Lytechinus pictus: one gene and its partners. The protein of the gene in region 3 purifies or fractionates together with the protein of the main gene of each other region. This does not show direct contact. Links are inferred from orthologs where the notes say so. Each region holds a gene or a part of one and is shown on either strand. Other genes may lie near its edges.

Region 1 (10,863 bases), on a different chromosome or scaffold from region 3:
CAGCTTTGATCATGCTTCAAAAAGTTTCATTTGCAAAAATAGAAAAGCTCTCAATAAAAAGCTATATAGGGAGAAGATTTTCTGGGACGTGTCGCAAGCCTTTTTCTAAAGTCCGTTATTCAACCCCGGTATTCAACAAGCTAAGTTTCTGTATTTTGAAAACAGCAAATTTTCTCTCTCGGTCGCAAAGTCCCTCGTAGATATAAGCAACTGAAATTAATTTTCATGATGGGGGGGGGGGGGGGTTCGAGGCTCGCACAAACCAATTCAATACCCGAATAACAAATTTTATACCCCTATTCCCTCAGTTTGGAAAATTACAATTTTTCTCGTAGCTCCCTCGCATGTGAACATTGAGGATTGGTGCCACGGATCTCAGTAAAGGAGCCAAATTTAGGCGGCACTTAGCGTGCTACGTACAGATTAGGCCTATAGTTGATTTGGGCCTTAAAATAAATGATAAGTGAATAAATGAATTATGAACAAATGCATGGCCATGAGGGAAGGGGGGTGAAGAAAATTAATACAGAACAAAAGAAAGAATATAAAAAATTAAAATATCAATTATTATCTTCTAAAATGATAAAAACTTTTTTATTAAAAAAAGAAGATAGTGTAGGCCTATATACTTTCCATTTCTTCACCTTCTTCGCTCATTTGTGACTTTTCAGAAACTTTCCTTTAAATGTCATTTTGTGCCCCCTTAAAATATTTTACTCAATTCAACAATGCCAGCACAAACAGGGGAAGTGGGCGGGTTAATGGGGCAATTTTCCCCGGTCCCCAGATAGAACCTTGGTCTGCATTTCCCATTAGCTTTAAATATTATGGTGACCATGCCTGACTACGGGAAGCCTATATATCCCACCATTTTTTTCGTGAGAATCCCATGCCAGCTGAAAATAATACGATTTAAACATATAAGTCAAAATTAGACAAACAAAACGCTGAAACTTCATCAATATCGGACAAAATTAAGAAAATTTATATTCATCACTTATTATTTTGTATTTAATGACATTAAATTATATATTTATTCAATTTTTGTCTTTCAAGAATGAAAAAAAGATTTTCTAATGCTTCAATGTTCGAGATGAATTATTGCTTCAACTGTTACAATGTATGAAAATATGAAATAATCATAATTTCATGAAATAACCCCGGGAAGTAACATGTCAAAGAAAAAAGGAAGTGGGGATTTCAGCCCACGTATTGCATAATTATGATGGCGTGCATGTATTTTTTTTTCACAATTCGGGTAGAATTTAAAATCCAATTAGTTAAACTTCTTTGTTATCAAATTTTGCCGAAATTTTTAGCTCAATTGCTTGGTGACTTTTACTGGATTTATTCAGATCCCATTGAGTTCTAAGTATATGTTTATATTAATTATAATCCTTTCCAAACTACATGTAAACATGAGGCTATAGTGATTATGATTAGACTATTCAGGGGCTGCGAAACCGGGGGGGGGGGCTTGGGGGAGGGGACTGATGCCCCCACTTTTTTCCAAAATCGTGTACAAAAACGTAAAAATTACCATCTGATTATGATTTTTCGCATTTTCAGCCCCACATTCGACTAAGCCTCCCCCCACTCTTTTCAAAACTGTTCGGCCCATGCTAGTCGCAGAATCGGGGGGGGGGGGGCAGAAGGAAAATCCAGTAAGACCAGTAAGAATTTGTACCGGTTTCCAGTATAGAATTTTATTGGTTTCCAGTATAATTTTACTGGGCCAGTTGATTTTTAACTGGACCAGTAAAAATTAACTGGAGACCAGTTCCAACAATTGCATTCCAGTTGAAGCAATTAGTAATACCAGTTAAATTGTTTTTCATCAAACTGGTGTTACTGGTCCAATAAATGGTTTCCAGTAGATTTTTACTGGTTTCCAGTATATGTTTACTGGACCAGTTGATTTTTAACTGGACCAGTAAAAATCAACTGGAGACCAGTTCCAACAATTGCATTCCAGTTGAAGCAAAGTAGTAATACCAGTTAAATTGTTTTTTCATCAAACTGGTGTTACTGGTCCAATAAATAATGACTTTAATTATTTCAAGTCAGATCATTTGACGAATTATGGAAAATGAATCTTGCAATTTTATTTAGAGAAAGTTATTATCGTTATCATTTATCATTGTTATCATCATTATTCTTATAATTATCATAATTATTATTATTATGATTATTATGATCATTGTTATCATTCTTGTTACTGTTATCATTGTTATTGATATTGTAATTATTATTATTAATATTATCATAATTATAACATCATGAAAATAATTATTTCCTTTAATTATGATTAAGATCAAAGCAGATATATTCCTCTGATATAGTCAACTGGTCTAAGTAATTAATTGTTTGAAATTGAACTGGTCAAGACCAGTAATACCAGTAATTCTGATGATGCTGATCACGTGGTTTACCTCATTTGCATATTTCTAGTTTTTGAACGAAAAGTCAGGATTTAGAATGGAATATCCTTGCAATGGCACTCATTCATTGTTTAAAAACTTTCTAAATAAGTGTGTGAGTTAATTCACAATGAAAATGTGTAATTTCATATATCACATTTAAAATAACAGCAGAAAGATTAATTTACTAACCATCTTTTCCATCACATTTCACTGACCATGGTATATAACAAACCAAATGCATGTAATAAATTGATCCAGTAAGACCAAAACGAGGACCAGTTCGAGGACCAGTCAGACCAGTAGAAAATACCAGTAAAGACTAGCTTAAATTGGATACCAGTATGAAGACCAGTGAGACCAGTAACAACAACCACCAGAAACAAGACCAGTATAAAATTCCAGTAATTCAAGACCAGTTTAATTTTAACTGGACCAGTATGACCAGTTAAAGACCAGTAAACCGATGTTCCAATTTCCAGAGTTACCAGTTAAAATTCTACTGGTCTAACTGGTCTAGTGGAACTGGTTTTTCCTTCTGGGGGGCAAGTTCCCGGCGCCCCATTTTTGTCAGAAAGAGTGTGCAAAAATGTGAAAACTAAAACTATGATTTTATCTGCATGTTAGTCTCCCCATGCACCCTCACACACTTATGGCTTAATGGCTTTGTCAGGCTTATTCCTGTTTTCTATTAGCATGTGTAATAAGTTGCGCGTATATTGGATGATTCATAGTTTATGTTTCTTTAATTTTCATCTTGTAATATATGGAATATATACAGGGGCGGATCCAGGATTTGCCAAAAGGGGGGGGGGCAATATTTAAAAAAAAAATGTTGACAAGCCCCCCCCCCCAAAAAAAAAAGGTTTTCAACCACGGATTAAGGGTATTTCGTACAAAAAAAAAAAAGGTCTTCAATTTCAAAAGAGGGTGCACACCTCTGTTTTAATGGCATTTTTACATTACAAATTTTTCATTTTGCTTCTCAAAGGGGGGGGGGGCACGTGCCCCCCCCCCCTGGATCCGCGCCTGAATATATAATATTTATTCATTTTAGGAAGGAAAAAAATACTAGAGGCTTGGCCGAGGATCAGGAGGACGAAGCCGGGATCGGGAGCAAGGGCCTTGCCGTGCGCGATGCCGGAGCGCGGCGCGGCCGGCCGGACGTGTACCAATATTGGATACGAGAAGAATGTGCATCTCCTGGAATCACGTAACGACTGGTCATTATTTCTCTTAAAAAGTTAAATCCTACCACTAAGCACTATCACTATAGTATCAGGCACCGAGTACATGTAGCCTAGGTCCTGTTAATTAAGAGCAGCTGCCCGGGATTATTGGATGCAATTTTGAAGTGGTGGTAAGCATTTAAGTCTAACTCTAACTTATTTAGTACCGGTACAGAGTTTTTTCTGAATCAGTCCCATGAATTCAATTCCATGCTGGTTATAAATATCGGCACTGCATAGCCATAGCATAGTCTAGACAGCTGGCAGCCGTCTGTTTCGAGGAGTTTCTTAAACATTTTTTTTTAAATTTCTCTTCGTACACAGACAGCTCGCGATCGTGCTGCCGCCATTAGGGGGTTAACAATGCAAAGTCCCCCCGACGGGGCTCATCGATTTTTGTCTTTATTTCATTAAAAAAAAGGACTGGACCACTCATTCAATGAACAAGGTATGGCAGTGTATCCTATTGCCGGACACCTTTATTTCAGTCCTTTAAAAATGACAACTAGAGGAAATACAATCAAGAAAAATTCGCACTAGCTATTCCAAATATTATGAAAATTATGAATGTGGTAAAATTATTTTATATTTACCAACCATTTTCTTTGCATCGCACTTGCCGCATACCCCTCCACGAAAAACAGTTATTTTCGTGCGTGACAAATTACATCATGATTCCGGATGCGCGCCGGACGGGTAAAGATATTCTTGATTATAATGATGTAAGAACCCATTTGTGTGATTTTTTCTTCTTATATCATATCATGAGTAAATTCTAAGTTTTTGTTTGCTGTTTTTATATCGATTCTGAGCAGATGTTGGTAATAAATTCGTGTTTGATAACTTATTTTATTTTTTCTTGTTAGCTGCATGTTTCATGGAACTTTCCAATATTATGCCCCATATTATGCTCGTTCGTATCGTGACGCTTATCAAGTTCTATCGATGCGCTGCCGATCGTCGACGTACGGCTCTATACTCACGGTAAACCTCGCGCACGGGTACCTTGAGAACTAGCCGTCGACGATCACCCACAATACACCACACCTCATCATTCGACCGAAGGAGCGGACGAGATTGAAATTCGGCAGATCATACCCATATTTCCGTTAGAAAATATATCAATTGTTAATGCAAAACTATGTAATTTGATATTTTAAGCATTTTCTGTCATTTTAGAGATAAATAAGGTAAAAGTTTGATTTTTTCGCCTTGTGTTTGCAATCCTGTTCTATGTATTGCTCTGTGAAATTGAATTGTGGAAGTCTTACGGTACGAAATTGTTTTCGTACGCAGTAATATGAGCGTCCGGAATCATGATAGTGTCCGGTAATACAATACGTCACTATAATTAATACTAGGACTAGGTACCGGTCACTCTAGGCGACACCCCAATACTTACCCGTGCTAATAAACTGGGACTCCACTCACGCGCATTTGGGCCGCCCTAGCTTAGAACTAAGCTTTGTTTTACTAAAAAATAAATCTTGTAATGATTCAATAAATGTTACTTAATAAATTAGTACTGTTAAATCGGTACTCACCGGTTCTTTTCTTGAATTTTCTGGCAATTTCCCACGCTTCTGGCTTCAATTCTGCGGCTGTTCCTGTCGCGGTAGACAGCTACATATGCAACTTTATTTATAAATAGAGCGCCCCTTACGATAGTTGTTAAGAACGCGGCCAAATTGTTAGGTTTTTTGCACTGTGTCCAAGGCGTTTTTATTTTGTTTGATTTTTTATTTTTAATAAATATTTTGTTAAATAGCGATTTTTACGTCAAATATTAAATTCATATCACAAAATATTTTTAATTGTAGAAATATATATAATATCATGCAATTATTCATTCTATATATATTTTATAATAAAATTTATAATTGTTGCGGTCTTTAAAAAAGGATAGTCGATTGATCAGGTGATGACCACACGTATCACGTGATCTGAAAATCAGCTTCATACCGCTTTGATCGCACTCGACGGTGACCGGACTGACTGCCAAAAAAAGATCGAAAAATGACTCAAATGTAAGTTTCCCTTTATTTTATTAAATTCAAATTAGGAATAGGAATATATTTAATGGGCAATCTTTTAATAAATGATAAACAAACGAGGACAAAACTCATATTTTGGGAGTAATATCATACTTGGGTGCAGGAAACAGTACGTTTAGAAGTTCTAACCTGTTTTTAACGCATTGTCGCCTATGAGGTCCATACATGTTAATGTTTGGACCTCATTGGTACTAGGAGTGGTACCGGTATATGAATATGATATAACCTTGTTCTCAATTATATCTCCATGTGTGGCGAAATAAGGGTGGCAATGTTTGGCTTATTTTCTCTTTTTCTTTGGGACAAATGCTTCGTCATACAACTTGGCCCTTAAGTAAATTTGATTCTTTACATTATTCTTTTCTTAATTAAAAATAGAGATTGAAAAATGACAATTTTCTTGCCATATTACTTTCCACCAATAGAGGGCGTACAAAAATATGCCCAAAATTCAAGTTTTTGAGCGCTCTAGTGAATACAAAAATTATTCCCAAGTTACTAATGAAAAATAAATTGTAATTGTATGGAAATTAGTAATTTTGGTCACAAAAGTGATATTTTAATGATTTTTTAAAGTGTGTGCTGTGTACAGCATTGGCATGCCATAGTCCTACCTGGCTGTAGATTCCCCACAGGCAGGATGGTTGCAGTGAACAAGTGGACTGGACCAAAAACCAAAAAAGATCTATTTTGTTTTGGCCTGAAATGCACCAAAATTGAAAAAAATTAACTTAAAAGGGAAAAAACAGCTCTCGCGCAACTTCCACTTCCCTGGTTTATCCCAGCCCACTCACACTAGAGCGAGGTTAGTATTTTTAATTAATAGTAGGCCTAGAGTCTAGACCTATAGCAGGGTGCTACATAACTTTTTTGAAGCACTTGCCCAGTCGGGCAAGTAAATTTTCAAATAGTTGGAAAATACTTGCCCGAATATAGATTTCACTTGCCTGAAAAAATTCTTCAAAACAAAGTTTTATTGCTTCAAAACAAGTTATAGGCTTTAAAAATACATTTTTTAACATGACTACTGATGTACCTTGTAGTTGTATTTCTTTTTTTAAATGATTTTTATCTTGAACATCATGACAAAATATATGGTCAATATGCTCTTTAATTAATTCCCTAATCTCATATATTTTCTATATATTTTGGAGGGGACTAGGACACACAATAAAAAAAGGGGAAATCACTGAAAATAACCAGAGAAAAAAAAGAAATTAAGAGAGGGAGAGAGAATGAAAGAAAAAAATAAGAAAGACAGAAAGGACGAAGAAATAAAGGAAGAAAGAAAAAAAGAAATAAAGAAAGAAAGAGAGAGAGAGAATGGCTGCGGGGATGAGAAAGATGGAAAGAAAGAAAGGAAGAAATAAGGATGGAAAGAAAAAAGAAAGAAATAAAAAAAAATGAGGGGAAGAGATAGGAAGGAAAGAAGGGAATGAAAAGAAAAAGAAAGAAAAAAGGTAAAAAGAAAGAAAGGAAGAAAAAGGTAAAGGATTGATGGAAGGAAGGAAAAGGGAAAGAAAGAAAACAAGAGAAAGGAAAGAAGGAAGAAAGAAAAGAAAAAAAAAGATAGAACAAAAGACAGAAAGAATTAAATGAAGGAAGGAATGAAGGAAAGAGATGAAGGAAGGCAGAATGAAAAAATAAGGAAGAAAAGAAAGGATGGATAGAAAAAAAAGAAAGATCAAAAGAACAAAAGACAAAAAAAAAGAAAAAAGGAAAGAAAGGAAGAAAGAAGGAAGGAAAGAAAAAAAATAGAGAGGAAAAAAAATGAGGGGAAGAGAAAAGAACGAATAAAAAAAGAAAGAAAGGAAGAAAAAAAAAGGTAAAGGATTGATGGAAGGAAGGAAAAGAGAAAGAAAACGAGAGAAAGGAAAGAAGGAAGAAAGAAAAGTTATAAGGATAGATGGAAGGAAGGAAAAAAAGAAAGAAAAGAAAGATAGAACAAAAGACAGAAATAAATGAAGGAAGGAATGAAGGAAAGAGATGAAGGAAGGCAGAAAGAAAAAATAAGGAAGAAAAGAAAGGATGGATGAAAAAAAGAAAGATCAAAAGAACGAAAGACAGATATAAAGAAAATCAGAAAGAAAGAAGGAAAGAAAGGAAGGAAGGAGAAAGAATGTAAGACAAAAATAAAGGAAGGAATGAAGGAAATAAATAAAGAAAGAAAAGAAAGAATGAAAGGGATGAAGAAAGTAAGGAAGAAAAAAAGACGGGAAGAAAAGGTAAAGAATGGATGGACGGAAGGAAGACGGTAAGAAAGAATGAAAGGAAGGGGAAAAAGAAGGATTAAAGAAAGGGGTAAACAAAGGATGGATGGAAGGAAGAAAGATAAAAAGATAGAAAGAAAAAAATGACAGCTATAGCAGGAAAGGAAAGATTGAAAAGAAAAGAAGGAAAGATAGGCAGAAAGAAAGAAAATAGAGAGGAAGAAAGCTCAAACTATCCAGTCATAAATAAAGAAGAAAATTTATCAATTTCCTTGGATAAAAAAAAATAGTTACGAAAAAAACCACGTTTATCAACATACACACAAATGCATATGTGGGACTGTCAAAACAATGTATTTCAGTGTGTGCGATGACAGACGATCATGTGAAACCCGATCTTTTTGAAGCATAACAGAAGTGAAAATTTCTCCTATTACTGCTTACAAATGACTGAGCTACCCCAATTTTTAGGAAATATGGACAATACAAGAATTTTCATTGGTAAGAAATGTGAAGTTTGTCGGTTCTGTGGGAGATTTCTTCCAGAGCAAACTTCGTTCATGCAGCACCGTACTCCGTAGAAACTACATGCATGTGCATCGGCTGCGTGGACTAGGCGCTAGCTAGCTAGGTATGCTAGACTGTCATTGATTCTGTGTGTGTGTGTACGTCTCTGAGCTGTGTGTTTATTGCAGAAAATGGCGCAAATTTTTGCAATTCGAATCATGACTTATAACTTTTTTGAAAGAAGAAAATTAATAATATTGCTTTTTTGTGTCTCTTTTTCTTTTCTATATTTTGATGGTGAAATATGGGGAATCTTTCTAAGTAAAATGTAATTTCCATAGGAGAATTTTGCTTGCCCGATTCGGGCAATCAGTTTTTTACTTTGCTTCAAAACCCTTGCCCGACTCTAACTTTTACTTGCCCCGGGCAATCGGGCAAGGGCTTATGTCGCACCCTGCCTATAGTTATACTAACCTCGCACCACTGGTTCACCCCAACCATTCGCCATACAGGGAAAGGTACGGGGTGGGACCAATCTGAGACCAGTGCCGCTAACACTGTCATTTCTATGTAGGAACGCGCGAAGTAAAAGAGTCTGACTTACCAATTCTTGTGTTGACCCAAACATAGATTTTGGTTCTACTTATTAATGTTGTAACCCGCACCCGTTGTGGTACGGGTTAACCTGCCGGTATGCCCCCGATCGCGGGTTGCGGGCCGGGCCGAGTTCATTCTCAAACCCGCAGACCGTCATACGAAAAAAAGGGATAAGTAACGACGCATAATAAAAACATTAACAATGAAAATTGAGTTAGGATCATGTGCTTCTTACGTGGCGGATTCTTTTAGAGACGTAGATATTTCCTTTAAAAAAATGCCGGCGTATTTTTGTCTTGTGAACAGGACTGAGACAGTTCGACATAATACATTGAGTTGCTCTTTCAAAGGAGCGCCAGTGCAGCGCAGTCAGAGAAAGGAATGTTTTACGACTGGGAGAGGGGGAGAGAGAGAGAGAGAGAGGAGAGGGGATGTGTTCGGAGACTGTAAACAGAAGCCAGAATACATTGCATAATCATATCTGGCAAGGAGCGAGTGATGGGCCACGTGGTAGAGAAAGGAATACGTTATGACTTGGAGTGGGGCGAGTCGAGCCTGTTTCCACGGCAACGCTCGCTGTTTGAGCTCGAGGGATTTGCGGTGCACGGCAGTGAGACAGTTGTTTGCTTATTGGATTACCAAATTAGGTCATGACCTGATAGAGCGTGCCGTCAGGTCAGAGTGTTAGCTGCCCTTTTTTTAAGACATGCTAAGCTGGTCTAGTCTAGTGGCTAACTAACCCTCCTTTTCGTTATTTCATACATTTTCTGATGAAAACTGAAGCCCCCGCACCCTGAATGCCCAGATCTCTTAATTTTTCTGATGTACAATTGATTGAAAGTCTTTAAGATTTCTGAAGATGTAAAATTGGATTGCAATGGATTGCAAGTTTCTTGCAAATACCTCTCTCTTGACCGATCGATCGAGAGAGATAAAAAATAAATAAAAGCCTAGCTAAGCACTAGTAACACGAGCTGTTTACGTAAGTTTACGTAAGTTTGTATTAGTTTACAAAGAATTGGAAGAAATACAAAATCAGAAGGAAATAATATGGAGATATACAAGAAGAAAAAATTGACTGTATCATTATCCTGGTATATCAATTTTGATTACTTTATAGACGAGGTCCCATAGAATTGAATATTGTAATTATGATTGTTGTGAGTCGCCGTGTCGACCGACCTGGACTGAAAAACATTGCCGATCTTTGCTGGGCAGCCTGGGCTAGCTAGCACGCGCTGAGCTGCGGCTCCAATCAGAGGAGTTAATTGCGTAATGCTTTCAATTTCGAGATCAGAGCGGACCCATTCCGTGGTACAAAGTCACCCTAAAAAACATTTTCTCTCCGGAATAAAAGGCGAATTTGCAAATTGTAAGTAAATATCGTCCTTGAAGTAAAGATTGGTTTCAAAATCGGGTAAAATCATCAGGAAATTTTTCATTATTCTCGTCTGGCCCATAGTCTCCTACGTAAGTACCTCAACACGCCCTCTTGTGCTGAATAAAAGAAAGATAGCCACTGAACAGTGGCGACCACAGAGCTGGATAAAATAAGCTCCTACCTGTTTCCGGTGAAGCATAATAATAGGAAGCTCCGTGATCCAGCGAATGTAGTCTTTTTCTCACCTGACACTCAATATTTTGTTCACTATTTTTTTATTTTTTTACACAAGAATTATTGTTGCCACAGGCGGCAGAGGGGGGGGGGGGTACAGTCACATACAATACCCCTTAAATTTCAGGAGGAGGGGAGAGTTCCCCCTAAAGAAATAAAGAATAAAAGATCAAAGACTGAGAAAAAAGGAAGAAATAAAAAATCAAAAGAAACTCAATTACGCTCGGAAGG
Region 2 (10,863 bases), on a different chromosome or scaffold from region 3:
AGAAGTGAACCCCTTTTATATTGGTCTGGTCTAGACTCTTTACAACCAAACAGGTGTTGGTCAACCTTGGACGCTTGACCAAAACAATCTGTGCGTCATAACTTTACTCTGAATTGGGGGAGTTGACCTTATAGGGAGAACATGAAATGTGAATAACAAACCCATAAAATGTGTGTGGTCAGAAGTTTAGCTGAAAGATGGATGAGTAATACTTTCTTAAGAAAGTTGGAATTGGTAGAAGTTTCCTGTTATACTTTCTGTAGAAGCATTGATTAAGTATTGATTATGTATTGATATATTATTGAATATGTGAGATATATCTTATCATCACATAACAATAATTCAAAAGGGTATTTTGATAGACGTTTCATAACTGTCCCGTTTTTATTGATACGCACTGTAAAATTGAATAAAAAGGGTCACCCCCTTCAAAAATACGATAGCTTTCTTCATTTATCAGGAACTTTTTTTTTTACATACTCCTCAATATTCTTAAAACTGGAGTATATAGAAGTGTGGGCTACTAAAACTAAAGTACTAGCCCTTTCTTTTTGTTTACAAATTGAGAGATATTAACCCCCCCCCCCTCCACAAACCCAAAATATATTTCAGGAGCAATCTTCCAATTGTATTTTATAAAGAGGACTTTTAGTTCAAATTTACTCCTCAATATATATAAAAACGTGGAATATATAGGAATGTATATGAGTGTGGGCTAAAAAAACTAAGGCACTAACCCGTTGTTTTTCTTTACAAATTGAAAGAAGGGAAACCCCCCTCCACACACCCAAAATATATTTCAGGAGCAATCTTCCAATTGTATTTAATAAAGAGGACTTTTAGTTGAAATTTACTCCTCAATATACGAAAAAACATAGAGTATATAGGGGTGTGGGCTACTAAAACTAAAGCACTAGCCCGTTGTTTTTCTTACAAATTGAAAGAAGGGAAATCCCCCTACACACACCCAAAATATATTTCAGGAGCAATTTTCAATTGTATTTTATAAAGAGGACTTTTTGTTGAAATTTACTCCTCAAATATACGAAAAAACATAGAGTATATAGGGGTGTGGGCTACTAAAATTAAAGCACTAGCCCGTTGTTTTTCTTTACAAATTGAAAGAAGGGAAACCCCCCTACACACACCCAAAATATATTTCAGGAGCAATCTTCAAATTGTATTTTATAAAGAGGGCTTTTAGTTGAAATTTACTCCTCAATATATATAAAAATGTGGCATATATAGGAATGTATATGAGTGTGGGCTACTAAAACGAAGGCACTAGCCCCTTGTTTTTCTTTACGAATTGAAAGAAAGGAAACCCCCCTCCACACACCAAAATATATTTCAGGAGCAATCTTCCAATTGTATTTTATAAAGAGGACTTTTAGTTCAAATTTACTCCTCAATACACGAAAAAACATAGAGTATATAGGGGTAAGGGCTACTAAAACTAAAGCACTAGCCCGTTGTTTTTCTTTACAAATTGAAAGAAGGGAAACCCCCCTCCACACACCCAAAATATATTTCAGGAGCAATTTTCCAATTGTATTTTATAAAGAGGACTTTTAGTTCAAATTTACTCCTCAATATATATAAAAACGTGGAATATATAGGAATGTATATGAGTGTGGGCTACAAAAACTAAGGCACTAGCCCGTTGTTTTTCTTTACAAATTGAAAGAAGGGAAACCCCCCTCCACACACCCAAAATATATTTCAGGAGCAATCTTCCAATTGTATTTTATAAAGAGGACTTTTAGTTCAAATTTACTCCTCAATATACGAAAAAACCTAGAGTATATAGAGGTGTGGGCTACTAAAACTAAAGCACTAGCCCCTTGTTTTTCTTTACAAATTGAAAGAAGGGAAACCCCCCTACACACACCCAAAATATATTTCAGGAGCAATCTTCCAATTGTATTTTATAAAGAGGAATTTTAGTCAAATTTACTCCTCAATATATATAAAAACGAGGAATATATAGGAGTGTATATGAGTGTGGGCTACTAAAACGAAGGCACAAGCCCCTTGTTTTTCTTTACAAATTGAAAGAAGGGAAACCCCCCTCCACACACCCAAAATATATTTCAGGAGCAATCTTCCAATTGTATTTTATAAAGAGGACTTTTAGTTGAAATTTACTCCTCAATATACGAAAACACACAGAGTATATAGGGGTGTGGGCTACTAAAATTAAAGCACTAGCCCGTTGTTTTTCTTTACAAATTAAAAGAAGGGAAACCCCCTTACACACACCCAAAATAAATTTCAGGAGCAATCTTCCAATTGTATTTTATAAAGAGGACTTTTAGTTCAAATTTACTCCTCAATATATATAAAAACGTGGAATATATAGGAATGTATATGAGTGTGGGCTACTAAAACGAAGGCACTAGCCCCTTGTTTTTCTTTACGAATTGAAAGAAAGGAAACCCCCCTCCACACACCAAAAATATATTTCAGGAGCAATCTTCCAATTGTATTTTATAAAGAGGACTTTTAGTTCAAATTTACTCCTCAATATACGAAAAAACCTAGAGTATATAGAGGTGTGGGCTACTAAAACTAAAGCACTAGCCCCTTGTTTTTCTTTACAAATTGAAAGAAGGGAAACCCCCCTACACACACCCAAAATATATTTCAGGAGCAATCTTCCAATTGTATTTTATAAAGAGGACTTTTAGTTCAAATTTACTCCTCAATATATATAAAAACGAGGAATATATAGGAGTGTATATGAGTGTGGGCTACTAAAACGAAGGCACAAGCCCCTTGTTTTTCTTTACAAATTGAAAGAAGGGAAACCCCCCTCCACACACCCAAAATATATTTCAGGAGCAATCTTCCAATTGTATTTTATAAAGAGGACTTTTAGTTGAAATTTACTCCTCAATATACGAAAACACATAGAGTATATAGGGGTGTGGGCTACTAAAATTAAAGCACTAGCCAGTTGTTTTTCTTTACAAATTGAAAGAAGGGAAACCCCCCTACACACACCCAAAATAAATTTCAGGAGCAATCTTCCAATTGTATTTTATAAAGAGGACTTTTAGTTGAAATTTACTCCTCAATATACGAAAAAACATAGAGTATATAGGGGTGTGGGCTACTAAAATTAAAGCACTAGCCCGTTGTTTTTCTTTACAAATCGAAAGAAGGGAAACCCCCCTACACACACCCAAAATATATTTCAGGAGCAATCTTCCAATTGTATTTTATAAAGAGGACTTTTAGTTGAAATTTACTCCTCAATATACGAAAACACATAGAGTATATAGGGGTGTGGGCTACTAAAATTAAAGCACTAGCTAGTTGTTTTTCTTTACAAATTGAAAGAAGGGAAACCCCCATACACACACCCAAAATAAATTTCAGGAGCAATCTTCCAATTGTATTTTATAAAGAGGACTTTTAGTTAAAATTTACTCCTCAATATACGAAAACACATAGAGTATATAGGGGTGTGGGCTACTAAAATTAAAGCACTAGCCAGTTGTTTTTCTTTACAAATTGAAAGAAGGGAAACCCCCCTACACACACCCAAAATAAATTTCAGGAGCAATCTTCCAATTGTATTTTATAAAGAGGACTTTTAGTTGAAATTTACTCCTCAATATACGAAAACACATAGAGTATATAGGGGTGTGGGCTACTAAAATTTAATGCTAGCCCGTTGTTTTTCTTTACAAATTGAAAGAAGGGAAACCCCACCTGACCCCGTATGTTTGATTTGTACCAGAATGCACGCTTCTCTTCCTGCGCAAAATCCTGTATCTGATCTATCTTACATCGCGATATTGTTGGCTGGAACTGTTGGCTGGCTTGCTGTTGGCTAGCTTATTGTTGGCTGACTCTACTCCGGCCCATTATTTGTAGGGTGAGTTTTGAATTAGGACTGAAATACATGTATTTAAAAAGAAAACTTATAGGGTCTACTAATTATTTATTTATAAAAGAATCGCATCGATTATTAACCAGCTTGAATCAATCAAAATTTATTGAAATATCAAATGTGATTTGTGCCTGTACCTTAGTTATTGTTTAACTTTAAAGCTGCTTTAAATTTAACAACATTCACGTTCTTGATGTCCCCTATTTAAACAGAATGGACATGGCCGACTGTGCAAGATTTTATAGCACTTTATTTTACAGAATTTACTCATATCCTGATAGTACCTGAGGCTGCTTAGCTGAGCTAGCTGAGACTGTAAGTAAGACCTAGGCTAAAAGTAAAAAGAGAGCATTACTAACGTCAAGAATGGCGCATTCATCGAAAGGGAAACTCGTAGCTGTAATTGGCGATGAAGTGAGTACAATATTATTTTCATATAGGATTAAGCTTGCTTTCACAGATCTAACGTTAGACTAGAACTGTGAGTGTGATGAACGAGAGAGCTGATGCGCGATGCTATTGGCGCACTATATTCCATTCCAGACGTAAAGTCCCACACGTTCATAACCATGCAGTGCAGTGGATGAGTCATTTTGAGTGCAAACGTGAACAATGTAATTTTGTGTAGCCTGGCTTGACTCCTGGCTTGAGGACTCCATGGGCCGATTGCACGAAAGGGTCTTTCCAAGGACCGTCTTTCGTGTCGCCCATCTTTTATGATGCGCTATAACTTGTATAAGCGGAGTGTTTCTGAAATTTATGATAAACAAATAAATATGATGGGGTGTCCAAACTTCGCAGACTTTTCAAAAATATTCATCAGGCTTAAATTTGTTCACAAAATATTCATAATTTATACAAAACTAATTCAAGAAATAGTTACAACGTTCACGGCAAGATCGTTAATTAAAAAATCATGGACGAAAATGTAAAGTAGGTCAAGGGGTTTCGCCGGTATCGCGATCTCAAAATTCTATTCCGATTGGCGAATGCGCGCGTGCTGGAAAACTAATCTGAAAAAGTGTGACCTAACTTCGCGGACCAAAGTTTTTGTGGAGATGTAAACAAAATCTCAAGCTCAAAAAGTGAAATATTTATATCAGATTGACGGCAAAATGCTATAGAATTGGTTAGTACCACATTTAACTCACATTTTTGATGATTTCTGCTTGCAAAATGGTGATATCGTGATGCTTGTTGAGAATATCAGATTTCTTCAAAACGGGCGCTAACAGTGACAAATTTGCCGATCTTTTGTCAATATTTTCATGAATACTGAACTCATCCGAAAGAAACTTACACCAAAGGATAATTTTAGGTCACTTTTCACGTTGATGATGTCAGATTTTAAGGATATTGGCTAGTTTTTTAGATAATGACCGTCCGCGAAGTATGGACACGCGCGAAGTTTGGACTCACTGCCATACAATTCGTAAGCTTGCTTTTAAATCAAATTTTATACAATTTCATGAGATATCACATTTTATAAACAAATATTTTGTTTATTTTAATGGACGAGTAAAATATGTTTGCAGATAATTTATTTAAAATGCGTTTCACATGGCGCATGACAAAAAATGGGCGACACGAAAGACTGTCCTTGCAAAGACCCTTTCGTGCAATCGGCCCCGTGATGATATTTTTAATATTTTGACATATTCATCATGGAGCCTGTACCGCCTCCCATATATGTATAAGAGATACATCAAAACAAAGATGGATTTCCCTAGGAAATCCATCTTTGTTGACCGAAATCACGTACTAACAAATGTTTGTGATTTTATTTTTATTTATTTTTTTTTTACACCTTCATTAAGTTCATACGCCTAATGCGTATGAAGGTTACAAAAATTGGTTCATAAAAAGGTGAAAAATTGAAGGTTTCTGTAGATCCCTCGATCCGTTTGTCAACAAACATGACAAAGCAAATACTTAGGTCTGACCCACTGGTCTGACCCACCCATGGGTACATTCCGCCGCCGTGCACAGGATAACCACTCACTGGCACGGCACTTGCAATAAATTTATGGCTATTTTGTTAAAATTAGAAATAGATCATGTAGATAGATATATTAAATTAGATAAGCTTTGGATATGAAACTTATCAAACGATATGAAGCCAATTTCATTTCCTCTGTCTTTCTGGTACTTTATATCGATGATTTTTCTTGATGTCGAAGAAGGCATGGACCTAATTCGCTAGTTTTCTCTATACGCACAGAGAGGGCGCGCGATATAATTTAATAAACTTGCTTGTTTACGTCGTTCACGTCAGATCAGCTGTACTGCTGGTTGCGTTCTAGGCGCTCCGCATTTTTTTTGCTGTTCAGCGTTATTTTATGATGTAGCGCCATCAGCGATTATACGTGAGATGCAACCTGTTGATTTTTTTGGTGCAATTTCCTATTATGCGCCAACGACTTGAATCTAGACTGTTCGATAGGAAAAATTTGCATTTCGATTGTTGTTTGCGTAATTTCCACCGCAGTATTAAGGATCGGACAGATTATCTTGGTTGAGATTTGGAGGTAAGCATTTAAAATCACTTTTTATAAATAAGTTCGAGCACATTTTTTAAATTAAATTAGATGATAAGATTTAGATTAATAAATTTAGTATATTTTGAAGATTTTGGCGTGTTTCATTCTCTCACATTCGTGTGATGAATGAAAACGTCAAAATTCATTATGAAATGACATGCGTTGTGTGAGGTTAGTACAACTAACCTCGCATGCTTGTGTGAGTGGGTCTGACCCTTGAACTGCTTCGTTATGACTTACCTTCGATAAGCGATGTTACAAAATGCCGTTTTGAAGAACAATGTATAGTAGATAAAAATGATTATTTAACAAGTACTAACATTTTATATGTGATTATGAATAATTATTATAATAATAATAATTATTTATAATCATGTATTAAATTGGTCAATTAACGTTCCACCAAAGTCTTTACAGTAAAAAGATGGGACACTTTGCAGACTTCGCGTAACGCTTTGCATTGATTTACGTGTAAAAAAGTTTTTGTGCCTAGTCTTTCCCTTGTAGTGTGTTTGATATGAGGATAAATCGTGCGCCCTCTTTATGTAATTAGACAAAAAAATTGGAAAATCGCAAGCTCACTCCGTATTTTGTCAACGAGAAGAAAATTCAACACTTAAATGACGCTATTTGAGGGATATTCATCATAGTAGGATTAATTGACTTCACATCATTCGGTTAGTTTAGTAGGAAGACTTGATTTTATAAATCCTCTTCTGAAATTTGCAGGAGTTTGTTGCAATTTTGCATGCGCCGTGCCTTCAATTTTCCTGTACACGGCGGCAGTAATACACCCATGGGTGCGTGTGAGTCTCCCTTATGTGCACACACGTGTATCTGCGTGATTCTTGTTAAACTAAAAATTTAATTTAGTCTTGATTTACTCAGTAAATACTTGTACTTAGTTTTACTTTAGGACCTAAGATACACAACAGCAACATGACTATAGTATAGGCTAGGCAAAAAGTCAATAGGTGAGTTGGCCTCAAATTTTCATTCTATATTTTGAGTGAACAATGTAGTTAAACTTAGCGACATCTTCACATTTTCTGGCAGCCAAGTTGATTATCTATTGATGTGACATATTTCCACGGCTCCTCTCAGTCTCACTCAGAGGCTCACACAGGCCTCAGTCAGGATACAGACTAAAAATAAAATGCCTATTTTTAGCCACTAGCCCACATAGTATATTCATATAGTGATGGACCAATATGCATACATGATTTTATGGAGAATTTAAGCTTTATTTTTCACTATTTAAGAAATTTTGGGGTAAGTTTTGAGTAATGTCTGTGATAATAATGCTAATAAAGAATTAGACCAAAAGCTTCGGTCTCTGTTTTATTGGTTCCGCTGAACTCCGTTGGTTCCACTCACCAATTACAGAGGCCGAAGTTCTAACTCTACCTGTACCCCCTACCTGTAACGGGCCCCAGGGGCCCGTTACAGAAAGAGTTGCAATCAATCGCAACTCTAAAAATCATGCGCAACTTGATTTTCAACCAATCAACAGCTCGCATGTGGGACTTGCAATTGATTTTTTGGTTTGCGTTTAAACGCAACTCTTTCTGCAACGGGCCCCAGGGGTACAGGTACTCAATGGCCATATGTTTATGTATCAAGTTCAGATAAACTGGTCAGGGAAGTGAGAGTTGTGCGACAGCCGAAGGGCCAGATGAGCTTATGCTGTGGCGTGTCATCTGTCGTCCGTCCACAATTTCAAAATGCTTCTTCTTCATTATTTCAAGTCTATTTCAATTCTGTTTGCTTTATATAATAGCACTAGCTGGGAGATTCAAAACTTCTACACAGAATTTTGAAACTCATTAAATATGCTAATTTATACACATTTCGAAATTCACAAAAAGTGCTTCTTCATTTGTTGACCAATTTTGATTTTTTTGCTTCCATCTGGTAGAGCTTTATGATGTTCACCAAACTTCTACACAGAATTTTGACATTTTGACAAAAAAATATTTATGCTAATTTATAAAATTCACACAAAATGCACCTTCTTTTTTTGTTGACTGATTTTGATTTTTTTTCTTCCATCTGGTAGAGCTTCATGAGGTTCACCAAACTTCTACACAGAATTTTGACTCGAGAAATTGTCATGCTTATTTATGCGAAATTAATTTATGCCTATTTTTAGCTTATGCCGTGTCGTCTGTCGTCCGTCCACAATTTCAAAATGCTTCTACCTCGCCATTTCAAGTCCGATTTCAATTCTGTTTGCTTTAAATGATAGCACTAGGTGGGGGATTCAAAACTTCTACACAGAATTTTGAAACTCATAAAATATGCTAATTTATGCACATTTTTCAAAATTGACAAAAAAGGCTTCTTTATTTATTGACCGATATTGATTTTTTTCTTCCATCTGGTAGAGCTTTATGAGGTTCACCAAACTTCTACACAATATTTTGACATTTTGACTAGAAAATTAATTATGCTAATTTATGCAAAATTTATTCATAATCACAAATAAATGCTTCTTTATTTGTTGGCCGATTTTGATTTTTTTTTTTTCCATCTGGTAGAGCTACATGAGGGTCACCAAACTTCCACACAGAATTTTGAAATTTTAACTTGAAAATAATACTAATTTATAGAAATTTATTCATAAATCACAACAACAAAAAATTCTCCTTCATTAGTTGATCAATTTCAATTTGTGTTTGCTTTGTATGATAGCTCTAGATGGGAATACAAAATTTCTACACAGAATTTTGAAACTCATTAAACATGCTAATTTTTGCATATTATTCAAAACTCACAAAAAATGCTTATGAATTTGTTGACCAATTTTGATTTTTTTTCTTCCATCTGAGAGCTATACACGAGGTTCATCAAGGTTCTACACAGAATTTAGAAATTTTGACTAGAAAATTATTTATGCTTATTTATACAAAATACATTCATAAATCACAAAAATGCTTCTGTCATTACTCATCAATTTCAATTCTGTTTCCTCAATTTATGTCACCAATATAATTCACTACAGTGTCAACTGGGCTGAAATTAAAAACTGTGTTAAATTTCTTTGCGAGATGCCGGATGAGCTCCACATCATTGATGTGCTCGTTTTTTTTCTAATTTATCTATGCTCTCTTTCGTTTTGGGTTGCTCCGTAATCTTTTTAAATGAAGATTATTGGCAACTTTTCCAATCATATATAATGTAGGACTGTTATTTTAACATTTCGTTTCCCTTTTTGTTCTACAGTTTTGTTATTTAGTTCAATTTGTTTAGATTCTTGATGCTTCTGTTGTCAAGGACATTTGACTTTCAACCTGCTTCTCCCATCATTCCTTTCCTATTCAGACGTGTTCATTCATTATATTCTCACATCTGATAGTGATTCTTTTGTTAAACATTCTTATTATGAAATCATCACAACATCTTTATATTCATCTTCACTTTATTTGTTATTTTATGAATTAGACTTCTATTAGTTGGCTCCTCCATTATTTTTATTTTGACTGGTTGATATTACTTAATTTGAATATACAGCTACAGCGTATGTTAATTTTTTAATATGATTCTGAGTTTTACATATGTACATGTACTTAGGCAAAGAAGCCATCTTGATTAATCAGTGCACTACCAGACTTCATTGAGTTAAGTTCGGTTATGTTCCTGTGTCTTCTGAGTTGATTCTACTTAATTTCTGTTTGCTGTTCCATTTGATGTGTATGTTTGAGCTTATGTTATTCTCCTGCATTCGAATATTTATTTCCCATAGACTTATATTTAAAGCCGCACAAGGACATTGAAATGAATCTAATGTGGTAGAACAGCAAGGTACAAATCCACTGTGATATACAGTGAAGATTCCACATCTCTGTTTATCTTCATTTATGCTAGCAAATTAGCTGAAGATTATGATTTGTCTGATAGGCTCTGCGTGAAAGGAAATGGAAAAAGAAGCCATTTTTCTGAATGTGTTTGTTATTTCTTTTATGCATGACATCTGAAATTTTTTATTTCTTACAGGATACATGCACAGGATTCCTTCTTGGGGGTATTGGGGAAATCAATAACAAGAGACAGCCAAACTTCATGGTAGTTGAGAAGGGTAGGTGAAACATTAATTGTAGAGGAATGCTAGTATGAATAAATTGTTTCATGACATCTGTATGTTCTGTAAAATACATTTATATCTTGCTATTTTAACAGGGAAATGTATTGGTAGATTAGTAGTGTTAATACTTGAATGATAAGGAGGGAGATGATGATGATCATGGTAGATATAGATATTAAAAAAGTATTTATTTTTTTTATTCACTCGCTTGCAGATTTTTAATTTTTTTTTTTTGGGGGGTGGTCTGTAAATTTTGCCTCATATGCCATATCTGGCTGCTTCAAAATGATTGGTTCATAATGCCTCTGACCCAACCCTCCCCCCTCCCTCTATGAAAT
Region 3 (10,863 bases):
GCCCTCTCCTACTTACATTATCAATATGTTTCTAAATTTTTCTGTTTTAATTGCCATGACAATGTTTAATACCAACTTACATGTTTCTCAATGTCTCTCAAAGTCTTAAATGTGTCACAGTGTTATGGCCTTGATTTGACAGCCCTTTATGACAATTGCACAATGCATGTTTGATAGATACAGATACATGTACATATGTCTGCATGGGCATGTCGTGGTCGAGTGGTTCTGACTCTTGCCTTTCAGAGGGTCGTGGGTTCGAATCCTAGCCGTGGCGTGTTTTCATTCAGCAATAAATTTATCCACACTGTGCCGCACTCAACCCAGGTGAGGTAATAATAATAATAATAATAATAATAAACAGTTCTTGTATAGCGCATATCACGATTATGAATAATGTCTCTATGCGCTTCCAAAGGACTTGGATATTATTACCCCAGCTGTAGCTTGGCAGCCGTAATTACTAAGATTACAGCGCACATGCATTTCAAGGAATAAATTCCTGCCAGGTACCCATTCACCTCACCTGGGTTGAGTGCAGCACAATGTGGATAAATTTCTTGCCGAAGGAAATTACGCCATGGCTGGGATTCGAACCCACGACCCTCTGTTTCAAAGTCCGGAGACTAATCCACTGGGCCACAACGCTCCACACTCCACAGGTAAATGAGTACGGGTAGGAAATAATTCCTCAAAAAGCTATGCGCACCTGAATCGGTAGCCTACATGTGTAGCTTAGACGGATAATAATAATTACAGGGCCCGCTGGGAGAACAGTTTACGGAACTGAAGTGGCTACCATGGGTAAATTTACCGTTATTATTATGGGGGCCACTGCATTGCAAAGCATTTCAAATGACAGGCATTGCAGAGAAAAATAATGAAAACTACTAGTGAAGGTTTGAGGAAAATCATCAAATATCAGAATTTCATGTTTTTGATTTGTGACGATATAAGACAAGCAGTTGCCCCATGTACATGTAACATAAAATTTGGAAATTAAGTTTCCATTTTGTCATGGTTCATGACATGTCTTCATGACTAAATAAAAATTCTTTCACTGGAGGTACAATAAAAAGCAATTCCATTTTTTGAGAAAATCAATGACATGAGTTACATTCATTTAATTTTTTTACTACACAATATATTGAGAAGCTACATACATGTAGCTGCTAGTATATTATGTCACAAATCCAATTATAAAAATTCTAATTTAATATCTTTTTAAATCTTTGATGCATTTTCCTCAAAGCTTCACAAGTGATTTTTTTATCATTTTTATTCTTGCTATTTTCACAATAAACTTTGTGTCAGGCCTCAGCTAAGGTTAACTTCCCCTTTGACCCTGCACCAACACAGCATTCGCAGTCAAAGCAAGACAACTGAGAATTTGCAGTTGACTGAAAATTGAAAAAAAAACATCCACATATCAGCAGCACATCCAGGCTGGCCACTAGAGTGGAGAGGAGGAGTAAGTTTGTAGAATACTACTACTAGTATAGAAAACTACAGAGTATCACATACTGTTCTAGTCTAAAACTAGGCCTTAACTATTCTAGAAGTATGTTATTAGACTAGAACATTGATACTGGGTCAGATGTATAAAAAGTAGCAATTGCTAGCATTCAATTGCTTCAAGCACAAGCAATACGTGTAGCTAGCCAAGCAAAAGATCACACTTCAGCAATTGCTTTATTTCATAATGGTGGAGCAAACAACCGCCGCTTAACTAAGGCGTCTATGGAGAAAGGGGGCACTTTTGCACCCTCGATTACTCCTAATCCTAAATCTTTTGCTTTTTGACAGGGTAAAAGGGAAGAAATAATAAAGATAAATTTATATCAAATTTCAGCTTACCACCTTTGCGAAAATTATGCTGGAAAAAAACGAATTTTTATGACAAACAGATCAGGATCCGCCGAGTTCTTCTTCAATCACTGTCAATGCAACTACATGTACATGTAGTATGTACAGTTGAGCATACGTGACGGCGATCGAAGAAGAACTTTGCTGATACCTAGCCTTGAGGACTCTGTGATTTCACAAATACAAAAATTTAATACGTGATCATAAATAATTAGTATAATACTACTAATTAAAATAACGCATTAAATTTCAGTATTTGTAAAGTAATAATTTTTACCTATAAATTGTTCTTCAAAACGGCATCGCTAATCGGATGTACGTCATAACGAAGCGGTTCAAGGGTCAGGTCTATTGTATTCGCTTTGTTAACAAACGGATCGAGGGATCTACATGAGATTGGTCTGGTAAGAAACGTCTCACTTTCACCATTTATAGTGAAATAATTTTTATACCTTTATACGCATGAAGGTTCATAGATATATAAAATTCACCCCTACAAACCGATTTCACCCTCTAACTATGGATTTCCTAGGGAAATCCATCCGGGTGTGTACATGTAGGTCTCGCTGCAGCGTCTATGGAAAGAGTGTCAAGCCAAGGCTCCATGTCTGAAGAAGTTTAGATCTAGGCCTATGTCAAAATATTAAAAATATCAGACATGGAGTCCTCAAGTCAAGGCTAGCGCTGGCCTAGACAGGAATAACCATCGTTTCTGGGGATTTATTCAACAATTTCTGACATTTTACAATCATGTATCATTGGTGAGTGAGCCAACGCAGTTCAGCGGAACAACCAAAATTACAGATTTACAGAGACTGAAGCTTTTGGTCTAGCCAAGGCTCGACATTAGCGGTGGCCCGGTGGCCCGGGGCCACCAGAAATTCACCTCGGGCAACCATTATTGAAAAAATGTTAAGTCTTGGTGGCCCGAATCGGGCAACCAATAGTTTTTAAAGTAGCACAATTTTTCTCCCGATTTTGCACGCATTTATCAACTTTCTACAACTCAAATTGCAAGCCAGTTGTCATGCGCCTTTTTTGTTGATCTACACACAAATACACACACACAAATTTTGCATAGTCATGACAGTACTACCGCTACAGCATACAGTAGCTGTTATCCAGCCGGCCGCGCCGGCAGGCTGGAATGAGCTAGCTTTGCATGAAGCCATGCGCAGCTAGCTGTGCGCTGGCAGCCTACCGGTATTCAGACTCAGGGAGCTGCGATATGAAATGTTGCTGCTAAGAAATCTTCCACAGAACTCTGAAAATTTAAGTCAAAGCCACATTTTACGCCAATGAAATGCCCTTCTACAGTCCATATTACTAAAAATCTGGTGTACCCTGATTATTTGCAAGCATTAAAAAGAGGAATTATGACCTCTCTTTTGACTCAAAAAGACCGATTTCTAAATGAATTAATACACATAAAAACCCATAGGTGAGTACATCACAGTCCCATGTGTGCATTTGTATGTATGTTGATACTTTGTTTCTTTCGGAGCTGTGTCTTTTCTAGCCAAAAATAAACAGTTTCTTTCTTTCTTGTTTATAAATGACTTCTTAAACCACTGTTGAGAAAGTTTATACTTTGGGAAGGCATTTTATTGATATGAAATGTGAATTTTTCCAACATTTTGGCAAATATAGGGAATGATTTTTTTCACACTTTTTTTTCCAGATCTATATAACTTTTGCAGTTTTTTTTTTTTTCTTTTTTTTTTATACCCCTTCCCATTGAATATGCCTGATTAAAGAATATGTTTCTACTAAAAAAAAATAATACAAACTAAAGGATATAAAAATAGAAATGCGCCATTCCCAAAAGATAAGTGAAAATTATTTGCTTGGCTTTTAATTATATTCCAGTCAGAATAGACTTTAAAAAATATTTGTAATGGCTTCTTAATTTTCCCCCTTTCCCCATTTTTAAATTAATTTTGTTTTATTCATTTTTCTTTCATTTACTTTTGTTTCTTTAGTCTAAATCTATTTTTCTTTTTCATTTTCTTTCTTTTGTTTTATTTCACTTATTTCTTTTATTATTTTTGTTTTCTTTTTGTAATATACTTTTTGAAAATTATTTTGGTTTGTTTCCCCATTTTATGCATTGTTCTAATATTGCAGCATATATTTCTGTGATTTTCTCCTGCTATAATATGCTGCAAAAGAGAAAAAAAATAAACTGGATTTGGGGCCTGCATAATCTAGGTTTTAGGATTCAAAGAGGAAGAAAGGAAAAATCATTGTTTTGTACATCTATCTGAGTTTGTTATGCACTGTTTATTTACTTTACCATTTTGAGTCTGTGTCTATAGGGAGATTAAAAAAAAAGTCCACACAATTCATTTATTCTCTTTCAATCATTACATATTTACAATGATAGAACAATTTCTATTTTACCACAAATCAATTAGCAAAGTAAAAAACAGCAAACAAGGTTTACACACAAGATGTACAAAGTGAAAGTAACTTAGTGGTACGTGGTAGTGGCTGCAGAATTAATATTTCAGAATGTTTAATGTTTTTCTTTATATTTTCCGGGCCACCAAACTTCAATATCGGGCCACCAAAAAAAATTATTTGAAGGTTTTGGTGGCCCGAACGGGCCACCACCAAAAAAAGTTAATGTGGAGCTGAGCCTTGGTCTAGGGACTCTAGCGCTGGCCTAGGCCTAGTTAAGCGGCCTTTGTTTGCTCCACCATTACGAGTACGAGCCCAATGGCAGTCATCCGTCTGTGTAGGAGGTAACATAGGAGAAGAACAAAAAGAATCAGAAAATGTTGAAAAACTCCTCTGAAAAAAACAGCGGATAATTTGACAATTGACAATGTGATGTCTGATGACTGACAAATTTCTTTAATTTTTCATGAAAAAAAGAGCTTGGAAGTTGGAAAAACAAAGTGATGATGCCTGGTTCCATTTCTCAAAATGACAGAGAAGAGAATCGATGTAAGTAGATCTAATTGTTTTATTTAAAATAATTAAGTAAAAAATGAGGGAGGCTGGCCGTGGCCCCGCGAAAATTCGTCGGATCCATATCCAAAGCCTCACCGGCCGCGCCCCCGCCCCGCAGCTTCGGGGTACGGTACCGTAGTCGGTGCCGGTGGAGCAACTCGACTCCTCCGGCTGCAGCGAGTGAACGAAGAAAATTTAGTACTTCCTTTAAAAATGTTAATTTCAAAAAGCGAATGAATGAAAAATTTTATTGCAAGTGTAACGAACCATGTTTTACTTACCATAGGTGCAAAGCAATGACAAACAAGTCACAAAAATAAATACACTCATGGAAGTCGCCATCTTGACTGTGCAAATGAGATCTCAAATGCAGTGCAGCACGCGCAGTAACAACACAGAGAATCCCCATTAACTAAATCACGGGACCCCTGCGGACCCGTACGCATCCGTTCAGGCCTTATCACAGCGGCCCGGATGTAATACCCCTACCCCCTCCCCCTCCCTTCCTCATTTTCATGGAGGGTCGTGTACGTGCTGGAACGGGGCTGGAACGGAAGATTCGGTGGAGTCCCTTTTTCTTTTTTCTTTTACTTAGGCCCTATTATTCTTTCTTTTTTTTTGCAAATGCAACACCGTCAGGGCCTATTGTGTGGATCGGAAATAAAAACAAAAGCAAAAAAAAAAAAAAACCCGGGGGGGGGGGCAGTTACATTGACGAGTGGATACCATGCGCGACCAAAAAAAAAAACGTATAAAAGATGTCTTTTTCAAGATAGGGCACGTTACGTACGTAACGTAATAAGATTTCAAAAATGCTAAAATAATGAAAAAAGGTATCTATTTACGCTAGGAAAGCTACGCGTTGAAGCGTCGTGGTGTAGCAGTTCAAGTGACTCTCGGCTTGTAATCAGAGGGTCGTGTATTCGAATCCCACCATGGCCTAGCGCCCCTTGGCAAGGCGTTAATCCACACTTTGCCACTCTCCACCCAGGTGTTAAATGGGTATCCGGTAGGATGTGAAAGCCTATATGTAGTATGCCAGCTAGCAATTGAGTCTTGGAACTCTTGTTGGAACGCTCCCCAGGGAGTGGAGAAGGTGCATACATTGTATGCGGGCATGCAAGGATCCGATGACCGGGGTAATGTCTGTAAAGCGCTTAGAGATGTCGTTCCCATGTATTAGGCGCTATATAAATGCGGAATATTATTATTATTAAGTGTTTAATTAGGGTCAAATTTGCGAGGGTGAAAAAATTAAGACTAAAATGTTTTATAAAGGAATAAAGGATGTACTTTTTTCCCCAAGAGTTATCATTACGTGTTGAGAGTAAGATTTGCGCGAGATGTGGGAGGTGGGGCTGTACTAAACCCTAAGATGTAGGTAAAAGTAAAACCGATGACCGACGTCCGTGACATAGCAATACAAATATCGCTGTACTTTTTTAGATGGTCAATTCAGGAAATACTTGGCAAGAGTATCGTTTTGTTTCCAAAACTTGTTAAAGGACAAGTCCACCCCAACAAAATATTGATTTGATTAAGAAGAGAAAAATCCAACAAGCATAACACTGAAAATTTCATTAAAATCGGATGTAAAATAAGAAAGTTATGTTTTCAAAGTTTTGCTTAATTTCACAAAACAGTTATACGCACATCTTGGTTGGTATGCAAATGAGGAGACTGATGATATCATCCACTCACTATTTCTTTTGTATTTTATCATATGAAATGTGAAATATTATAATTTTCTCCCCATTGTCGATTGAAACAGTGATCTATTCCTCCCTGAACATGTGATATTAGCATTGCTTTATACTACAGTGCGTATAAAAAAAGTTTACACTTTGAAAAAGCCGTGGGAATTAAATAATGTACAACATGTGGGTAATTTTTGACATATAATCTTGGGTTTGGGTCTCATCTATCCAATGAAAGTAAAAGTTTTGACAGAATGTTACACTTGAGTGAGCACTGTCCATTTTTGTAAAGCTCGCAGAAATCTGTTTGCGCAGAAATGCTCGTTTTCATTCTGTGTCAAGGGGTAAGGGAGAAATCAAACTTACCCTGCGAAACATTTCTCATACATTTCCCTTGCACTTTTGGTCAGTTGAAATAAAACGGATACATTCAAGCATTTTTGCCACCCAAAGTGAAATTTCAACACTTAGTAAGCACAACCTCTACCCTTTTTGCGCCAGCTGTATCTGAGGACATACTGAATCTGAACAAAAGTTTTTATCAGACATCTCCTCTAAGTTTTTATCATTTAAAGTGGGTTTACATTTTATTTTTCATTAATACTTGTTTCTCCACACTTTTCCCAAGCTTGAAAATGATTAACAAAATGAAAATCAAGCCTAAGCCATTTCATGTAAATCACAGCTCAGTGTAAGCAAATATCGTCACGATGGCCTCGGTATGTGGGGGAGTCAGGATGGGGTGCAATACACTCTTCGAAGTGTTTTGGGCAAGGAAACAAGTTTAAAAAGGTAAAAGATCTCTTCAAATCAATTTTACTAGCTAAATTCAATGTGTTCTTCATGATTAACATTCGCATAACTATTTCAAAGTTCTGCGCAAATCATTTTTCACTAACTTTTCAAAAGTAAGTGGCGCTTACTCAAGCGGAAATATTTTTCAACAGTTATATTGTCATTTGCTTAAATGGATCTGTACCAATCTTAAAATGTGGAAAAATCTTCAGGATATTACAAATGTATAATTTTACAGGATTTTTTCTAAGTGTAAACTTTTTTATGATACGGACTGTATAATGATTCAGTCAAGTCGGTCCCTATGGTCATATCTGTAAAGACTGAAATATTGTATAATTCAAACTATAAAAAACAAAAGAAACAGTGAGTGATGGACATCATCGACTGACTCATTTGCATGTCACTGAGTTGTGCATATCACTGTTGTGTGAAAAATAAGCGAAACTTTAAAATGCTATAACTTTCTTATTTTACATCCGATTTTGATGAAATTTTCAGTGTTTTACCAGTTTGATTTTTCTCTATTTATTCAAATCAACATTTTGCTGGGGTGGAATTGACCTTTAAGGGTAAGGTTTCACTCGCCAATACTTGTTAAGGGGTGCATTTTCAGAATATGGAAAATACGCGTTTAGGGTGCATTTCTAGACCCCATGGTCGCGCATGGTATCCACTCGTCAATGGAAGTGGCCCCCCGGGGGAAAAAAACAAAAAAAAACCAATGAATAAAAATACTCTTAATTTTTGGTTAAAACTCCCTTTTTATTTTGCTTGTCAAATTTTTTCCCGGGAAAATATGCCCCCCCCCTTGGGAAAATCCTGGATCCGCCCCTGACCTTATGAATAACCCCGCCGAGCTTTCATGTTTTTATCTAATATTTTAGAATAAAACATTTTAATCAGTTCTCTTATCAATGCTTGGGCCATCAATCTTCGACCATGAATCTTCTTTTATAGCGCCATCTAGGAAGAACCCCGTCTTTAAAAAAAATAATTAAAAAAACCCCAATATTTAAAAAATTCACCTAAAATTATTGTAGGCTAGTTTGAGAAAATTGCAGATTGAAAAAAAAATTATTCATACGAATCCCATTCCCATAACCAGGTAGTAATAATAACAGAGTTCCTTGCCTCTCAAAATCAGCGTAAAAACCCTTTGCCTTGGTTGTATCAATATGAGTACTTGGACAATCTTGAACTTAACCTCCCTTTTCCCTACTTGAAAACCCCCATCATAAGGAAGGGGGTCATTTCCCCTCCCCCGGTGAGGCCGCCCTTCATTCGCGGCTAGATAAAGGATGGTACTAATATTTTCCACTCATTATATAAAGAAAATGCTTGAAAGCAAAATATTGTTCAATACGAGCCACATTGATAAACTATCAAGCATTTTCGCGATTTTTGTTGTTTAAAGACTGGTTAAATATGTTGCTTCACGGCCACTTTTCTACAATTTTTCCGCTTTTCTCTTGATATTTTCGCTTTTCTCAATATTTCTCTTGCGAGTCCAAGTAGGCCTACCTCTCAATTTTTCCGGCTTTCTCTCACTTTCACCAGAAGTTTCGATCTCCTGCCTTTTTTAATGATTTCCGGTTTCGTCGCACACTTTCGCGCTTTTCTCTCATAATAGCTCCCTGTTACCATCTCTCTAGCTGCACTCAATACCACTATTGTACAGATTGGGGGGGGGGGGTGGGACTTGCTGTCATACTCCCTCAAGATTCATGTTCAAGAACAAAAATGGAAAGGAGAAAAGGAAGAAAAGTAACAAAAGGTCAGATATGATTTTTCCTGAATATTAGGTCAAAGATATATCACAAAATTAGATTTGGAAAAGGTCAAAAATTTCCTCGCTCGCTTTGCTCATTTGGAACTTTTAAGATTTTTTTTTTCAATCACACTCCGTCGCTATTCTTTGCCACCATCAATTTTTGTAGGCTTATTACGCCCGGCTGCAGCTTATTCATGCATTTGCTCCTTGTGAACCCAATAGTAAATTTCTCATCTAGTTACCAGTTTAATATCCTAAAGGAGAAATAATGAATAAATCTAAATCTAAATAAATTTGGCATTTAGACTTCAAAAATCACAGAGGAGATGGTGGGGATTTTTTATTTTTTTTTTATTTTTAGATTTTTTAGATCTATTTATTTCCGTTCAACAAAATAATATAATCGAAGAAACAGTACAAGACATGTTCAAAATATTACTTCTATAGTCACTAGCGTACCTACGGGGAGGGGGGGGGGGGCAGAGGGGGCAGTCTGCCCCCCTGACGAGCAACGACCCATGCAAAGGACGTATCCCTGCCCCCCTGACGGGCTTGAAAGACCTTTTTTGCCCCCCCCCCTGACGAGATTGAAGACCTTTATTGCCCCCCCTGTCGAGCTTTTTTCTTTTGCTTGTCAATTTTTTTTCTGGTAGGAAATCCTTCATTTGTGATTGAATGATTGAAGACCTTTTTTTTTTTTTTTGCTTGTCACAATTTTTGGCGGACGGCTTTGCCCCCCCCCCTGTGGAAAATCCTAGGTACGCCACTGCTTCTAGTTCAATGACAAAACAAATATTGAAGATAAATTAACTGAACGGAAGGACTTGCCGTTTTGTTGGGGGGTGGTTAAAATGTTATATGCATTCGTCTCGTCTAGGGGATTCTATTACCATGGTTACCATTCTCTCTGTACATCGAAGCTCGGGTGTACACAGCAATAAGTCACATGATCATCGTGATCATGATGTCAATGATCACACGACGACGCTGTTGCTTGCACGGCAGCTAACTCTTAAAAACTAGTGACGTGATTAAAATTGAAATCAGTGATTAAGAAATGAATCTCGATAAAGCCTAACATGTGTCCTCTTCTTGTTTTATTTCACAATCTGTTGATTACATAAACAAGTGATTAAAAAAGTGTATATACAAATAGGTAGAATAGTCAGGGGGGGGGGGTTAATTGCCCCCAGAAATGTCCTTTTTCGGAATTGGTCGGTAGTAGGTAACTTCATGTTGATAATTCAGCATAAAATTTATTCGTGTTTGTACTTTTTCCTTAAAATAAAATTTTATAAATAATTATGGCTTGATACAGTTTTCACGTGCATCATTTTTAAGGGAAAATTATTGGCAGCAGTTTGAACTTTTCGAGACCACTTTGTCTATTTTGAAGTATATTGGGTTTGAAACTGAGTTGGTCAGGGGAGCGTTTCATGAAAGGACTTGTCGGACGTTTTATCCGACAAGTCCCATTTTATCCGACAGTTACCATAGTAACAGTACTTCTCAGCCAATCAACATCAGAGAAATATGTCAGATCTGACAACTTGTCGGATGAAAATGTTGATGAAACACTCCCCAGGATGGCATTAGGGTGACCAACGACAAAACAATGAATTCTGGATAGAAATAGGAATGTGGTTGTAGTGGGGGATATCCAGGAATTTCCAAGTGGGCATATGTAGACTAAAAATATCTAAATTATTTGTCTTGTTCTTAAGGGGGTGGGGAATTGATGTGCCCAGCCTGGATATGCCACTGGCTTGTAGG

What was found.
Region 1: the proteins of renin receptor-like (region 3) and coiled-coil domain-containing protein 115-like purify together in Homo sapiens (affinity purification with mass spectrometry; 3 studies listed by BioGRID and IntAct, counting the BioPlex papers as one, with this or other methods). This does not show direct contact. The link is inferred for Lytechinus pictus from reciprocal best matches to the Homo sapiens genes ATP6AP2 and VMA22.
Region 2: the proteins of renin receptor-like (region 3) and V-type proton ATPase subunit F-like purify together in Homo sapiens (affinity purification with mass spectrometry; 3 studies listed by BioGRID and IntAct, counting the BioPlex papers as one, with this or other methods). This does not show direct contact. The link is inferred for Lytechinus pictus from reciprocal best matches to the Homo sapiens genes ATP6AP2 and ATP6V1F.

What each region holds. Positions count from the first base shown.
Region 1 is NC_087247.1:17,306,417-17,317,279, forward strand, and holds the start of coiled-coil domain-containing protein 115-like, read left to right. Parts: upstream 1-3,290; 5' UTR 3,291-3,330; intron 3,331-3,477; 5' UTR 3,478-3,780; intron 3,781-8,229; exon of another isoform or gene 8,230-8,414; intron 8,415-10,863. UniProt on the Homo sapiens protein: Accessory component of the proton-transporting vacuolar (V)-ATPase protein pump involved in intracellular iron homeostasis.
Region 2 is NC_087247.1:60,522,061-60,532,923, reverse strand, and holds the start of V-type proton ATPase subunit F-like, read left to right. Parts: upstream 1-3,800; 5' UTR 3,801-3,886; exon of another isoform or gene 3,887-3,915; intron 3,916-4,113; exon of another isoform or gene 4,114-4,161; 5' UTR 4,162-4,267; coding exon 4,268-4,315; intron 4,316-10,437; coding exon 10,438-10,519; intron 10,520-10,863. UniProt on the Homo sapiens protein: Subunit of the V1 complex of vacuolar(H+)-ATPase (V-ATPase), a multisubunit enzyme composed of a peripheral complex (V1) that hydrolyzes ATP and a membrane integral complex (V0) that translocates protons.
Region 3 is NC_087260.1:13,865,397-13,876,259, forward strand, and holds the start of renin receptor-like, read right to left. Parts: upstream 5,229-10,863; 5' UTR 5,167-5,228; coding exon 5,106-5,166; intron 1-5,105. UniProt on the Homo sapiens protein: Multifunctional protein which functions as a renin, prorenin cellular receptor and is involved in the assembly of the lysosomal proton-transporting V-type ATPase (V-ATPase) and the acidification of the endo-lysosomal system.